Oryzias latipes: one gene and its partners. The protein of the gene in region 1 interacts with the protein of each later gene in a pairwise test. Links are inferred from orthologs where the notes say so. Each region holds a gene or a part of one and is shown in the gene's direction. Other genes may lie near its edges.

The links.
Region 2: the proteins of coiled-coil alpha-helical rod protein 1 (region 1) and hsbp1 interact in binary tests that used the Homo sapiens proteins (3 or more experiments, as listed by UniProt). The link is inferred for Oryzias latipes from reciprocal best matches to the Homo sapiens genes CCHCR1 and HSBP1.
Region 3: the proteins of coiled-coil alpha-helical rod protein 1 (region 1) and fsd2 interact in binary tests that used the Homo sapiens proteins (3 or more experiments, as listed by UniProt). The link is inferred for Oryzias latipes from reciprocal best matches to the Homo sapiens genes CCHCR1 and FSD2.

Annotation. Positions count from the first base shown.
Region 1 is NC_019872.2:16,054,640-16,058,757, forward strand, and holds the start of coiled-coil alpha-helical rod protein 1, read left to right. Parts: upstream 1-1,262; 5' UTR 1,263-1,398; intron 1,399-1,495; 5' UTR 1,496-1,504; coding exon 1,505-1,574; intron 1,575-1,792; coding exon 1,793-2,057; intron 2,058-2,139; coding exon 2,140-2,307; intron 2,308-2,435; coding exon 2,436-2,553; intron 2,554-2,770; coding exon 2,771-2,965; intron 2,966-3,190; coding exon 3,191-3,354; intron 3,355-3,456; coding exon 3,457-3,571; intron 3,572-3,733; coding exon 3,734-3,844; intron 3,845-4,118. UniProt on the Homo sapiens protein: May be a regulator of keratinocyte proliferation or differentiation.
Region 2 is NC_019864.2:28,979,155-28,983,351, reverse strand, and holds hsbp1 (heat shock factor-binding protein 1), read left to right. Parts: upstream 1-1,367; 5' UTR 1,368-1,484; coding exon 1,485-1,529; intron 1,530-2,204; coding exon 2,205-2,271; intron 2,272-2,407; coding exon 2,408-2,532; 3' UTR 2,533-2,534; intron 2,535-2,617; 3' UTR 2,618-3,486; coding exon of another isoform or gene 3,487-3,589; 3' UTR 3,590-4,043; downstream 4,044-4,197. Other genes in the region: DNA topoisomerase I, mitochondrial, read right to left, coding at 3,487-3,589. UniProt on the Homo sapiens protein: Negative regulator of the heat shock response. Negatively affects HSF1 DNA-binding activity. May have a role in the suppression of the activation of the stress response during the aging process.
Region 3 is NC_019861.2:13,794,263-13,798,503, reverse strand, and holds the start of fsd2 (fibronectin type III and SPRY domain-containing protein 2), read left to right. Parts: upstream 1-1,411; 5' UTR 1,412-1,543; intron 1,544-1,579; exon of another isoform or gene 1,580-1,596; intron 1,597-1,649; 5' UTR 1,650-1,775; coding exon 1,776-1,940; intron 1,941-2,165; coding exon 2,166-2,261; intron 2,262-2,485; coding exon 2,486-2,719; intron 2,720-2,902; coding exon 2,903-2,925; intron 2,926-3,051; coding exon 3,052-3,173; intron 3,174-3,894; coding exon 3,895-4,059; intron 4,060-4,127; coding exon 4,128-4,241. Other genes in the region: whamm (WASP homolog-associated protein with actin, membranes and microtubules), read right to left, coding at 183-761.

The DNA of each region.
Region 1 (4,118 bases):
CATGTAAAGCAGAAATATTAGTTGAAAATTGAGCCTATCACTGTCTTTTTCAAACACTTACCCTTAACTTTCCTTTGTGTCCAGAAGCAGGCCATGAGCACAAGCTTTTGCCTTAATGTTGCAATAACCAGAACCTAATCTTTTATCATCTGTGACAAGTCTTTTGAGGTCAAATTTCTGTTTTCTGATGTTTTTTTTTCCTTGTTGGTAGTTACTTTCAATCCCACTTCCCCCATACTTTATTGTTAAGATCTTTCTGTGAAGTATAATGCTTTAAATGGGTATTACATCAATAAACATACACAGTCTGCATGGTAAAATATTGTGCAGTACTCCCTCTAATCTATTGCTTTTTCAATATTTATCAGATTCACACCCGACCATTCTTATTGTTGCATAATCTTTCTTGGCATGAGTTCTCTGCTTTGTTGAGACAACTGTGTATCCATTTTCACAATAATTGACATCCTATCATTGTCACCTTGAATCAACATTTGATCCTTTATGTAAAGCACCAACATCAACATTTCTTTTGACACCATAAACAGATTACATCAGATTAAAATTTAATGAACCCCTGGGGAAAGTGGGTCAGAGCTGCAGCAACAGAGTAGAGGATTTAATATACTACAGGTAAGAGCTGGTTTGAACAAACATGAATAGATGCCGCAGATGCTTGAGAAAAATGCAGCACAAAATTCTTTAGATAGATAGTCTTTATTGTCATTGCAACATTGTACAACGAGATTAAGGTGCAAAAATAGTCAAATGGTAAAAAATAAAATCACAATAAATAGTATAAAAACAATATAAAATACAGCAGACATAACCCACACATGCTTGGCATTTACTGTGTCAAGCAGACAGAAACATATGATAAACACAATTTATGGATTTTCATCATCACATTTTTAGAGCAGAACTGTTCAAATGGCAGGAAGAATAAGACTGATACAACATTTTTAAAATATAAATGTATGTTAGTAGTACAGTTACAATTCTGCAGCTTTGCTGTTAAATGAAGGAACACAACCATCTAAGTAATTCTGTATCCAATTATCTAGAACACAATTTAGTTTTATTTTCTTTTTCTAACTATTTTTTAGCCTGCAATGTTATTTTTTTTTAAAAGTCTGTGGAGGAGCAAAAAGTATGTAAACACGGACGAAAAACCTTTAAGTCAATATTTAGGGCAAAATCACGCAATCGCCTCAACCCCCCCTTCCATTTTCCCATGATGCAGTGCGCAATTTTCGTATTTTTCTAAATGTTTTAAAAAAAAAATCAATACATTTCATGTATCTTATTTTACTTTTTTTTTAATTAATTAAAAGTGTTAGAAATTAGCAAACTGTGCACGTTTATAGTTACTGCAAAACATTTGTAACAGTAATTAAGGTAACGAAAAGTGACGAAAAGACTCATGGGAACGTAAACAGTGTTCTCCTTGTTTTTGAAGGCACAATTTTGACCGTCTCCTGTCTTTTTCTACCAGCCGTTAAACATGGAGAGGAAAAATATCGTCAAAGAAAAGCTAATAGTTCCTACGGACTTTATTTCACCGGCGCATTTAAGTAAGTTAAAGTTTGACAGCTTGAACAAGTCGAAGTAACGTTAGCTTTTAGACAGTGTAGCTAAAAATGTCTAATTAAGTTCGGTGGTAAACTAAGTTAAAGGGCCCTTCTTACTATCATATACCTGTAATGTAAGCATGTCTTTGTAATTTTATACGCTAAAAAAGCTAATGGAACCAAACACACAGTAAAATACACGTACTGCTTTTGTTATTTAGCCAATGTCCAGGGGGACCTAATGCCTCCGTCACACTTTGAATCGGGTGTTCAATCATCTGGAGCCCACAGAGGGGTTCTAGTAGGTCCTAAAACTTCACCTCAGACTACCTGGAGGAACCCAGTTCCGATATCAGGACCCAGGGATCCAAGTCTTGCCGGTCCATGCTTCACCTTTCCTCAACGTGAGGACAATCGGGAGATGATCCTGCTACAAGGAGACTTCTTAAGAGCAAACGAAGCTGGGGGTCAGCCTGCAGCACACAGGTTGAGGTTTATTTCTGAGTTGTTGGTCTGAAAGGAAATTTTAATCTTCTCTGTGTCATTAAGATTATTTCCTTGAAAACAGATTTGGAGAAAAAGGAGAGCAACAGTACACATGGGAGTCACAGCACCAGCTTGGGATGGAAAAACACAAGGCTGAAGCTGAGAGGTTAAAGGGTCAGGTGGAGGCCCTGAAAGAAGCTGCAGAGAAATACAGAGAAGAAATGAAAGATAGAGAGATCACCCTGTGCAGGTATCACACTTTTTTCACTCTGTTTTGGTGTCTGATTATTTGATTTTCATATTTTTCTGCACAGCTTACCTCTGAAGAGTATATTAAAAACATGTCAGGATGAACTTGACATGATCTTTGTGCAACAGGTGCACCCATGAGCTGGAAGTAGCTCGAGAAAATGCATCAAAGGCGAAAGCAGAACTCAGCCAAGTCAGGGAGGAGCTTAGCCTCAGCAGAGGACAGGAGGAGATGATGAGGTTGCGGGTAATGATATTTACTCACAGAACATTTTATGTCCACACTGACTTACACAAGAGTCGCCCCTGGAGTAACTGACATTGTCTAACTCCTTTTGTCAGTTTGTGATCTGGCATTTTCTCCACAGATTGCAGTGTCCCTTTTAGCTTTTAGGAACATCCTGGAGTGTTATATTCTCACAAACGCTGAGTCTTCAGTCTTTTCATGTTTTTGTGTTTTGCAGCTGGAAAAAGTGAAAGCAGAGTGTGGAGAGGAGATAGCCCAGCTGAGGAGATCTTTGGTAAAAAGCAAACAGGAATCCAGAGAGCTTGCTCTTAAGGTTGAAATGAGTAGGCTGCAGGCTGAAGAGGAGGCGAAAGAGCAGGCTCTCAGACTCTCCAAACAACTGGAGAAAATGAAGGAGATGCAGGAGGCACAGGTTTGTGGCGCAGCCTGTCGCAGCAAGATTTTATAAACCTTTTATTTACTGATTTTATTGACCTTCTGTCAAACAAAGGGTTCACTTCCAAGAACTCATGTCAGCTGGCATCAGTTCTGCTGAACTCTTGATGTTTCCTGCAGTAAAGCAAGTGTAGTGAGACCCTTTGCTTGAGTGGGATCAGTTTGGATTCATTTTTCTTCTTTTTTCTTTCCTTACTTCCAGTTGCAACATTTAAACGCATCGCACTATACAGAGTTGGACACAGCAAGACAAGCAAACTCTGAATTACAGGACAGGCTCCAGTCGATGTCCACAAAAGTGCTGCAGTTACAGAGCGCTCTGATGGAGGCGTCAGCTGAAAGGGACGAACTGAAAGAACATTTAAGGTGCAGCTTTGCATTTCAAGCACTATGTGTTCACATTCGCTAATGTTCCTTAGTTTCTTTTTCTTTCACTGCTTCTTTATTAGTGTGTATTGTTACTTTCAGTCACGTGGGACGAGCCTTCGAGACCCAATCTGCGACACTGCAGAGCCTCAGAAATTACATCGGCCAGCTCACCCCAGAGAGAGGAGAGAAGGAACAATTAAAGGAAACTATTGAGGTTCAGACAAAATAAACTGTACTGATCAAAGACATCGGCAGTAAATTGCAAGCGCTTCTGTTCACCACACCATAGAAAAAGAAAACATTAAGCAAAAGAGAAACTCATTTTTAAATTCAAAACCGTGCAGTGTTTCTGCTTCTAATCTTGTGCATTTTACAGAAGCTAAACAAAGAGAAGGCGGCTCTTCAGACGACCACTGAGCTTCTGACTGTCAGACTTAATTCTGTAAATGAGATTCTCACCCTCCAAGAGGAGAAGCTGGTTAAGAAGGTGAGTGTTTCAAGATAGAAGTCTTTGTTTATTACAGCCAAGACCTCGTCTTTCTGGCTAAGCTACTGATTTCCCGTTTAAACATTAGGCTGCTTTTATACATTAATGTATACAATTTATAGAAAATTGTCTAAAGACTAATCTACATCATAATCACTGACCCAAACACATTTCCCAACTTTACTTTTAGTTCATTCAGAAAACCATCATCTAAGGAAATGGGTCACAATCACAGCTTACTGTGTGAACTCCCAGGGTTCTACTAATGTCTCTT
Region 2 (4,197 bases), on another chromosome or scaffold:
CAGAAATGTGGCTCTCTAAGGGAGGGGTCTGCCAGTCTGCAGATAAGTTTAAACTGCAGACAGCATCTCGTCTTACTAACAGTTTCACTGCAGCTGCTGTGGACACCGATAGTTGAGTTACACAGATGACCTGCCTGCTTTCAAAACACCCTTAAAGCTTTAGCTCCATACAGCGTACCCAGGGACTTTCTCCCTTGTGTTGTGCCTACAAAAGCATGAGGTGCGCATGCCAAGAAAATACAGGGAGGTTACAAAGGAGGTGGGAACATTTTTTTAAAGTATAACTTGACAAAGATTTCATTCAGAAAATCGTGCCAAACTCAGCTAAGACGTCACCACTGCTGTAACTTAAGCAGCGCTTAATTTTGAAAAGACAAGAACAGCAGCAAGACATTAAACACCAAACCTCAGCATTATGGCAGGAGTTTGAAGAGCAAAAGTCACGTCTAAGTTACATATAAAGCTCAGTAATTGTTTGCTTCTGATAAAAAAAGTTACAGGTTATAATCAGTTAGACTAGGCACAAGCCTGGAGGAAGTTAAAACCCGTTCTAAGGGAACCTTTGCACAATTTATTCAGTACTGTGAGGCTTCTGCTATTTCCTTTTGTTTATGTGTTGAAAGTAAACACTAACAATGGAAGCTGAAATGTACCGAAGCTTCTTAAAAGAGGAAACTCAATGTTATGTAAGCGGAGCATATTTTCACGGGGTAGGGCCAGCAGTGCCTGCTTCTTCATGTCACTCAGGACTTCCACACACATCCATGCCGGAGCTGCTGCTCCTTTGGGACAAACTCAATACAGCTGCAGTCTCGTTAAAAAAAATAAAACTTCAAGAATGATGCATAAAAACCACGTGGTAAGCCTGAGTTTAAAGCAACCGTGAAGTTTCAGCCTATTGCACGCGTGCGTAAATCTGAACTTTACGCAAACAGCCGCATTTCTGATGCACAACAGCACCGTCAGTTTTCTGCTTTACTCACCGATCGCCTTCAGTCCAACAGAACTTTGCCGTCTCCCGCAGTGAATTCGGCGTGAAAACCCGCCGAGTTATCCCGCAGCTCCAACTTTCAAATCCCAACTCGCTGAGGAGGAGGAGAGACGTGTGCGCGCATCCCCACACACACACGGCTGCGCATAAACACACACAGGTCTAGAATTTCCGCTTCAATCTTACAGCTTCATGTTTTTCTTTTCATCTAAACATAAGAACGTCAACTGATTTTTCAAATGTGTTATTATTTTATAAATATACATACAACCTAATGTTTGTCGTCAATCCACAGCATTATTTGTATCGAAGGGTTCTGCAAATTCACCGATCTCAGCCCATGAGCAAATCTCGCGAGACTTGCCGTGTTGTGGCACAGCTGACTCTCCCGTGGGTGGTACAGGCGAGCAGAACCTTGAGGCTAAATAATCGAATATAAAGCGCCTTAAATTTAACCGCCGTGAAGGTCCGGACATACAGTTTTATTCACACCATGGCTGAAACAGATCCCAAATCAGTGCAGGACCTTACTAACGTGGTGAGTTTGGACCGTCAAGCTAGCTAGGACTAGCTATATGGATGTAGCTAGCAATGCTAACTATACTGCTAACAAATCAAATGCAGGTTGCATCTAAAGGAGTATTAAGTTTGATTCCTTTTTGCCTTTTCCCCCTTTGTTTTACCACTTGACACCTAAATTCTGATCGATCTCACTAAATATTTATTAGTTTATCACCATATAAAAGACATTGTTAGCTGATTAGCACTTCATCCTGACTAATTTAATTTACATAAATCTTCTTTAATCAGCATTTTCAATAACAAGTATATGAATTTACATTTTTATTGTAATAATAATAATCAGCAGTTCTCGCAACACCCAGGTTACTTCTGTTGGTGTGGATACCAATAGTGTTGCCATGGAAATGAACCAAAACTAAAGGTCTAAGTTGCACCTCTACCTACTAAATCACAGACTGTATTCGATTCTTCTGAAACATTAGGTGTTGATTAGTGTGTTGACTGGAAGATGAAGGTCTTAGCTCCTTTTTAGTGGTTTTTCTCTCACATGCAGCTATGTCCAGAGTGGGGTATGTGAGGAGGGGACTGAGAGGGCGGGAAGCGCTTTTGGGCCGCTCACAGCTTGATCTTGTACTGTTTCTTGTTGGGTTTGACAGATTAAAGTTTGTGGCCTTCTTTTGTTTTTCTAAAGGTCCAGACGCTCCTGCAGCAAATGCAAGACAAGTTCCAGACAATGTCAGACCAGATCATCGGGAGGAATATCCTTTTTTGAAAGCCAGAGCTCTGATGGTCGTCTTTACATTTCTCATACTCTACATCAAATGTCCCGGTGTCTTTTTCTACAGGACTCCAGTTTGCTTAGAAAAAAAAAAGATTTGCCTTAACAGTGTCCACTTGATGAGATGAGCACACGAATCGATGACCTGGAGAAAAACATTGCTGACCTGATGACCCAGGCTGGTGTGGAGGAGGCCGAGGCGACACCAGAGAAGCCGAAGGAGAGCCAAGGATCATCATGAAGGTGAAGAAAAACGGTCTACCCCTGTAGAATTTCTTTGTTCTGGTAGATTTCCTAATCAGCTTTATTTTCTGTCTGTCCCACAGGGTCAGAAATGATGTGAAGTCAAAGTTCTTTACCGATGACTTCTGATTTGGTGTGAAATGCTTTTTTTAAATATATATATATATAAAATGGTTTAACGGTTTACAGTTATGTCATGATGTGAGAAGTGGAGTAGTAGTAATCTGAATTAGTGTGACCTGCCCTTCAGAATTGTGTATTTGGTGCCCTGACCTGGACGTTCGAGCCGCCAGCGTCGGTTCTTCTCTCCGGTCCGTGCTTGGTAACGGGCCAGCAGAACCTCATCCCAACACGATGAACCGCGAACACCCGGAGCTCGCAGCGCAGCACTGTTGGCAACGAGATGCAGAATGCATTCCATTTCTGATTTTCTATTAAAGCGATGTACGGAGCAGTTTCTCCTTTTTGACCAGGTGCTGATAAATAGACCACGGTGCTAAGAGTTTCTACATTTTCTCTTATGAGGCAGAGTCGTCTGATGCCACAGACCTTTCATAACTACTGAATTCATCCGATCTGCAGGTTCAATGCTCTTTGTTGTTCATGAATTTGTTGGATTCTGACGTGAAATGAGCAGAATTGGAAATGTGCCACTTAACGAGTGTATAACTAAGATTTTGCCAAATTGAATGATTAAAACATCCCTTATTTTACCGCATGGTAGGAACCTTTATTCAAGTGTATGCAAACAAAATGTAACAGACCGTCTTCAAACCAAAAGTAGCAGTAAACATCCATTAAAGTGCAGCTTGATTATTGAACTGCAGTAGTAGAACCTCAGCACTTCATAAACATCCCCTCAATACAATATTCATTTACTCTACATGGGATAAAGCAAAAGGTCCCTGAGCTGCCACTTGGTGTGAGTTTATACGTCTGTGGAAGTTCAGTTTCAGAACTCGAAGTCGTCCTCCGTCATGTCGATGGCCCAGGCGAACTTTTCCCGTTGGGTTTTGTTGTAGATTTTTTCTATAGGCACCTCCATGTTCTTACACCTGATTAAAAACAAGAACAGAAAAGCGTTCAACCACAAACAACTGAGTATTACAACTGCAGAAGAAAAGTCTTAAACATACAATGGGGTGAAGAGAAACCTTGAGTTTATCGTCCTGAACGTTTTTCAAGCCAAACTTCACCAAATCGTTGCAGAAGAAGCATTTCTCATCTCTGGTTTAGCACCAAACCCCACTTTCCTTTGGTACAAGCAGCATTTCTATGAATTCTGAAGTCTTGGAACAATTGGCTGATCTCTATAGAAATCAGGTCGGTCACATGGTGAAACGTCAGATCAGTAAACTGGAGGATCTGTTGTCTGAATGAGATCAAGTGACCACAGATCCTAAGAGCCCAGAATCAAAGTTAACGGATGGAATCTGGACATTTCAACACTGCAGCCTAAACCAGAAACTTAACAAAATGTGTTCTTTACAATAAAAATCTATTAAAACATTTCTGTTTTTGGGTGTGTGTACGAGCTGGATTCGCAGTAAAATAAGGGTTTGAGTGACGGGGCTGTTCTGCCCACTCAGACGTTTCTGAGGATCGCTGACGACCATCAGACCGAGCTGGAGGTCTCAAGAGAAGAACCGCAGCAGCGGTGGAA
Region 3 (4,241 bases), on another chromosome or scaffold:
AAAGAGGGTTTTTAAATCATTCAAGCTTTAATCTAAAAAATAATAAGACTTTGAAACCAGACTCGTCCATTGATGACTAAAGCCAGCACAAAAACAGGAACTCTTCACAAACATTGTAGAAGTTTAAATGGGAACTGGCTCAGCTGTCATCCTCGCACGTGCCTGCTGGCTGCTGCCCTCACCTGTCTCAGCTGACTCTTCGCCCTCGACATCTCCTCCTGCATGCTCTTCTTCTTGAACTCCTGCAGGTTTTCGAAGTACTCCTCCACATCCCGCTCGTCTTGAGTGAACAGCGTTTCCAGAACAATCTTTCGGCCGCAGAAGTCGATCGCTGTGACAAAGTATTTCTCCAGTTTCCTGCACGGCGTGTCGAAGTCCCTCTCGGCGTCGTCGTGCTCCGGAGCTGACCTCCGGCTTTGAAACAGCAGCTCCCACAGATTGCCTTCTTCAAACGCAGACAAGTCTGGAAAGCACGCGCAAAGGATGTCCGCCACGCACGTGAACTGCTGGTGGATGTGCTTCAAGTCGCTGACAGAGAAGAGTCCAGCCCAGCTGAGCGGAGACTCGCCAGCATCGACTTCAGCTTTGCGTTTCTGCCGCTGCAGCGTTCGGTTGTGGCAGGTGACGGCGAACTTTGACTCGATGGCGTTCCACTCTACGATAAAGCCCAGCTTCACTGCCTCGTTCTCCTCGAATATATTACTTTTGACGGCCACCCAGCCGTCCAGACTGTCCAGCCGGTCAACCTCAACGCCGTCCATCCTAAAAACACGTTCATTTGGCCTCCGATGAACTGTTGGCTCTGTTTACAACGTCCGCCATTTCTATCCCGGAAGTAGCCTTCAGGTGCCACCCAAAATACTCGGAATTATTAAAGACCGAACGCTAATCATGCAGACAATGTTAAACGCAGTCATTTTAAGGCACTTTTTTGCTCAAATAAAAAACTTAAAAGTACAGGTATATTTTCACAAAATTGTATGTGGTTATTATAGAAGTAATTATACTTTTACGCTATTGTGCAACTTATTTTTACTTTAATATTAATTGTTTCAAGTTGTGTACCTGTTTCATGTTTACAAAACAGTTAGAATATCACATACCTGATAACAATATACGAAAATACGAAGTTTAACCCCCAAAAAAGTATAAAACAAGAGTCTGTATGTTTGATTTGGACTTTTACAATGACCTAGAATGCCTCATGACGGCATTGACTAACTTTCACCTTTGACCTTTAAAGTCACATGCTTGGGGATTTTCCTTACATCAGACTCAAACTTATGGAGTTATCAAAACTGTTTGTGCTATATTTTTGTCTCAAATAACAAAACACAGAAATGAAACTGTGTTATTCACAAAACTGTATTTGATTTTCCCTGAAATAATAAATGTTTTGCAGTCATTTGGTGTGCTTGTGACATCTGAGCAACATGAGTCCATTCTATTTTTGTCCCAGCTTCTGGTTGAGACTTTTGGAGACTTTGCTTGTCAGACACTCGGCTGCCTATTTAAAAAGAGACTGAATCAGTCAGTTATTCTGGTAATTTTAGTATAATCTTATTTACTATTTTTTAGACCAGCAGGACCTACAAAGTGTGTTTAAAATGAAGTTCTTGTGTTTTTTGTTCTGCACTTTCTTGTTATAGATGTATAAATTGTGGATCTGTGCACTGGTGCAGATTTAAATCGAATGGACCCGAGTGAAGTCTGAAGATGGAGGCTGGATGGGATTGAAGCCAGGCACAAGGACATTTAGCTGAAACTCTACAAAAATGGAGACACATAAAGGAGTTTCAGATCGAGGAGGAAGGACCTTCCAGAGATTTTCTGTCGACACCAATGAGTCCCTTCATTTTGAACCCTGTGAGGACAGCTCTCCGTCTCCCACCGGAATAGAGCATGATGAAGATAATGTGTTCATTAAAGACGAAAATGAGGTAAAAATCCCTAGAATGAGTGTGTTTGTACATTTATTGTATTTAAAGCAGCATGAAAGAATAATTACATTTATTTAAAAAAAATGAAAGCAGTGCACAATTCCACATTTGTTTGTTAGCTAACCAAATAAAAGCCCTGGCAGCAAAAGACTGACTCATAAGTCATGTTACTGGTTTGAACATAAAACAGAAAAAGCTGGAGGCATGACTTGCATTTGCTTTTAGAGTGAAATGACCTCAATCAGGAACCGATTGCAAGGCAAGGTTGCTGAGATGGAGAACTTTGCTGGACACCTGGAGGAGATCTTTCTTACTGTTGAGGTACGATGACAGTCAGGTCTGCTTAAAAAATTAATAAATAAATGTAGTTTAAAAATGTTTCTTCTCCCCACCATTCATGGGGGCTTGTCATTACTTTTGCTACTCAACCTTTGATTTATACATTTATTGTTACGTAAGTGTGTACGTCTACCCTTCTGTGCTTCCTACTCACACACTTGGGGTATGACCCATCATTATTCGTATCTCTGGGCTGGTACATGCAGGAGAACTTTGGCCGTCAAGAGCAGCACTTGGAGCAGCACCACAATGACGTGCTGCAGACGCTGTCCCAGCGCCACAATGAGAGGGCTGCAGGCCTGGTGGAGGAGAAGAAGAGTAAGATGGAGGCTCTGTACAGTCAGCTGCTCTCCTGCGGTCAAGCACTGGATGCCTCCAAGGAGCTCATTGAGACAGCCCAGGAGATCTACCGCACGCCAGACAAGAGGGTGTTCCTGAAGGTACCTGTGTTTTAGTTGTTTCATTTTAATTTTCTAAAGTAGATGTTCAAAGTTGTGTTCGTCTTTAGACACACAATGCCTATTTTTGCTTTTAGGAAAACACACAGTCATTCCATATGCACAAACCACTCATTTAGAATTTTCAATTTAAATCCTGTCCTTTTGTTTCATATATTTTGACAGACAGTTATGCCCATCATTAAAAGGTAACGTGGATGATGCTCAGTGAGTATGCATGGTGTGACGTGGATTCAAAGGGATTTTTGTGTTATTAAACCACACTCTTAGAATTGGGATTGTAGTTTTATACATTGCCTGTGTGTGTTTTGCAGAATTGAGATGTTTGCTAAGGAGAAGGTTGATCTCACATTGTCCACAAAGCTTGACTTTGAAACACCCCAAGCTGATCTGTCTGATGTGAAAACCATGATGGACTCCGTCAATGCCGTCCCAGGTCTGTTATGACCACTTCACCCATTCACTCACTGGCCACATTAGGTACACCTTGCTATTATCAAGTTGGACAGGAGGGGCACCCGGTGTGGTCTTCTGCTGCTGTAGCCCATCTGCCTCAAGGTTGGACGTGTTGTGCGTTCAGAGATGTTCTTCTGTACACCTCAGTTGTAACCAGAGGTTATTTGAGTTACTGTTGTCTTTCTATCAGCTGAAACCAGTCTGGCCATTCTCCTCTGACCTCTGACATCAAGAAGGCACTTCCGCCCACAGAACTGCATCTATCTGGATATTTCTTCTTTTTCAGACCATTCTCTATAAACCCTAGAGATGGTTGTGGGTGAAAATCCAGGTAGATCAGCAGCCCGTCTGGTACCAACAACCATGCCACGTTCAAAGTCACTTCAATCACATTTCTTCTCCATTGTGATGCTCGGTTTGAACTGCAGCAGATCATCTTGACCATTTCTACATGTCTCAATGCACCAAGTTTCTACCATGTGATTGGATGATTAGAAATGTGTGTAGAGGACCAGCTGGACAGGTGTGCTTAATAAAATGGCCAGTGAGTGTATACACACATGTGCATCTATCAAAAAAATGTGCGGAACTCTGGTTTCCATACAAGAACTAAAAAAGATTGTTGGTCCGACTTGAGTTTATCTTTTAGGGCATTACACGAACAACATGTTAATGTTAGTATTTTTTACACATAAAAACAGCTCCATCTGCTCCGGTAATCAACCCCCAGATGTCCAACTCAGCCACGCAGACGTCTTTGCGTGTTTGCTGGAGTTTATTCTCTGACGACACGGTGGAGTACTATGACCTTTACTACAGACCCGTGCTGGAGGACACGCTAGCAGACGGCTTCTGCCAACCACATGGTACCAGGTGGTTAAAGATCTAATGACCCTGGAGACAAGCTGGAGACTAAATGTGTGTTTTTCTATAGTAAGCACAGTAAAAGTGAAGGAGACTCACTGCACGGTGACAGATCTGCTCCCTAACGCTCAGTATGAGCTCTGGGTAACAGCGACCAACACCACAGGCATCAGCCCAGCCAGTG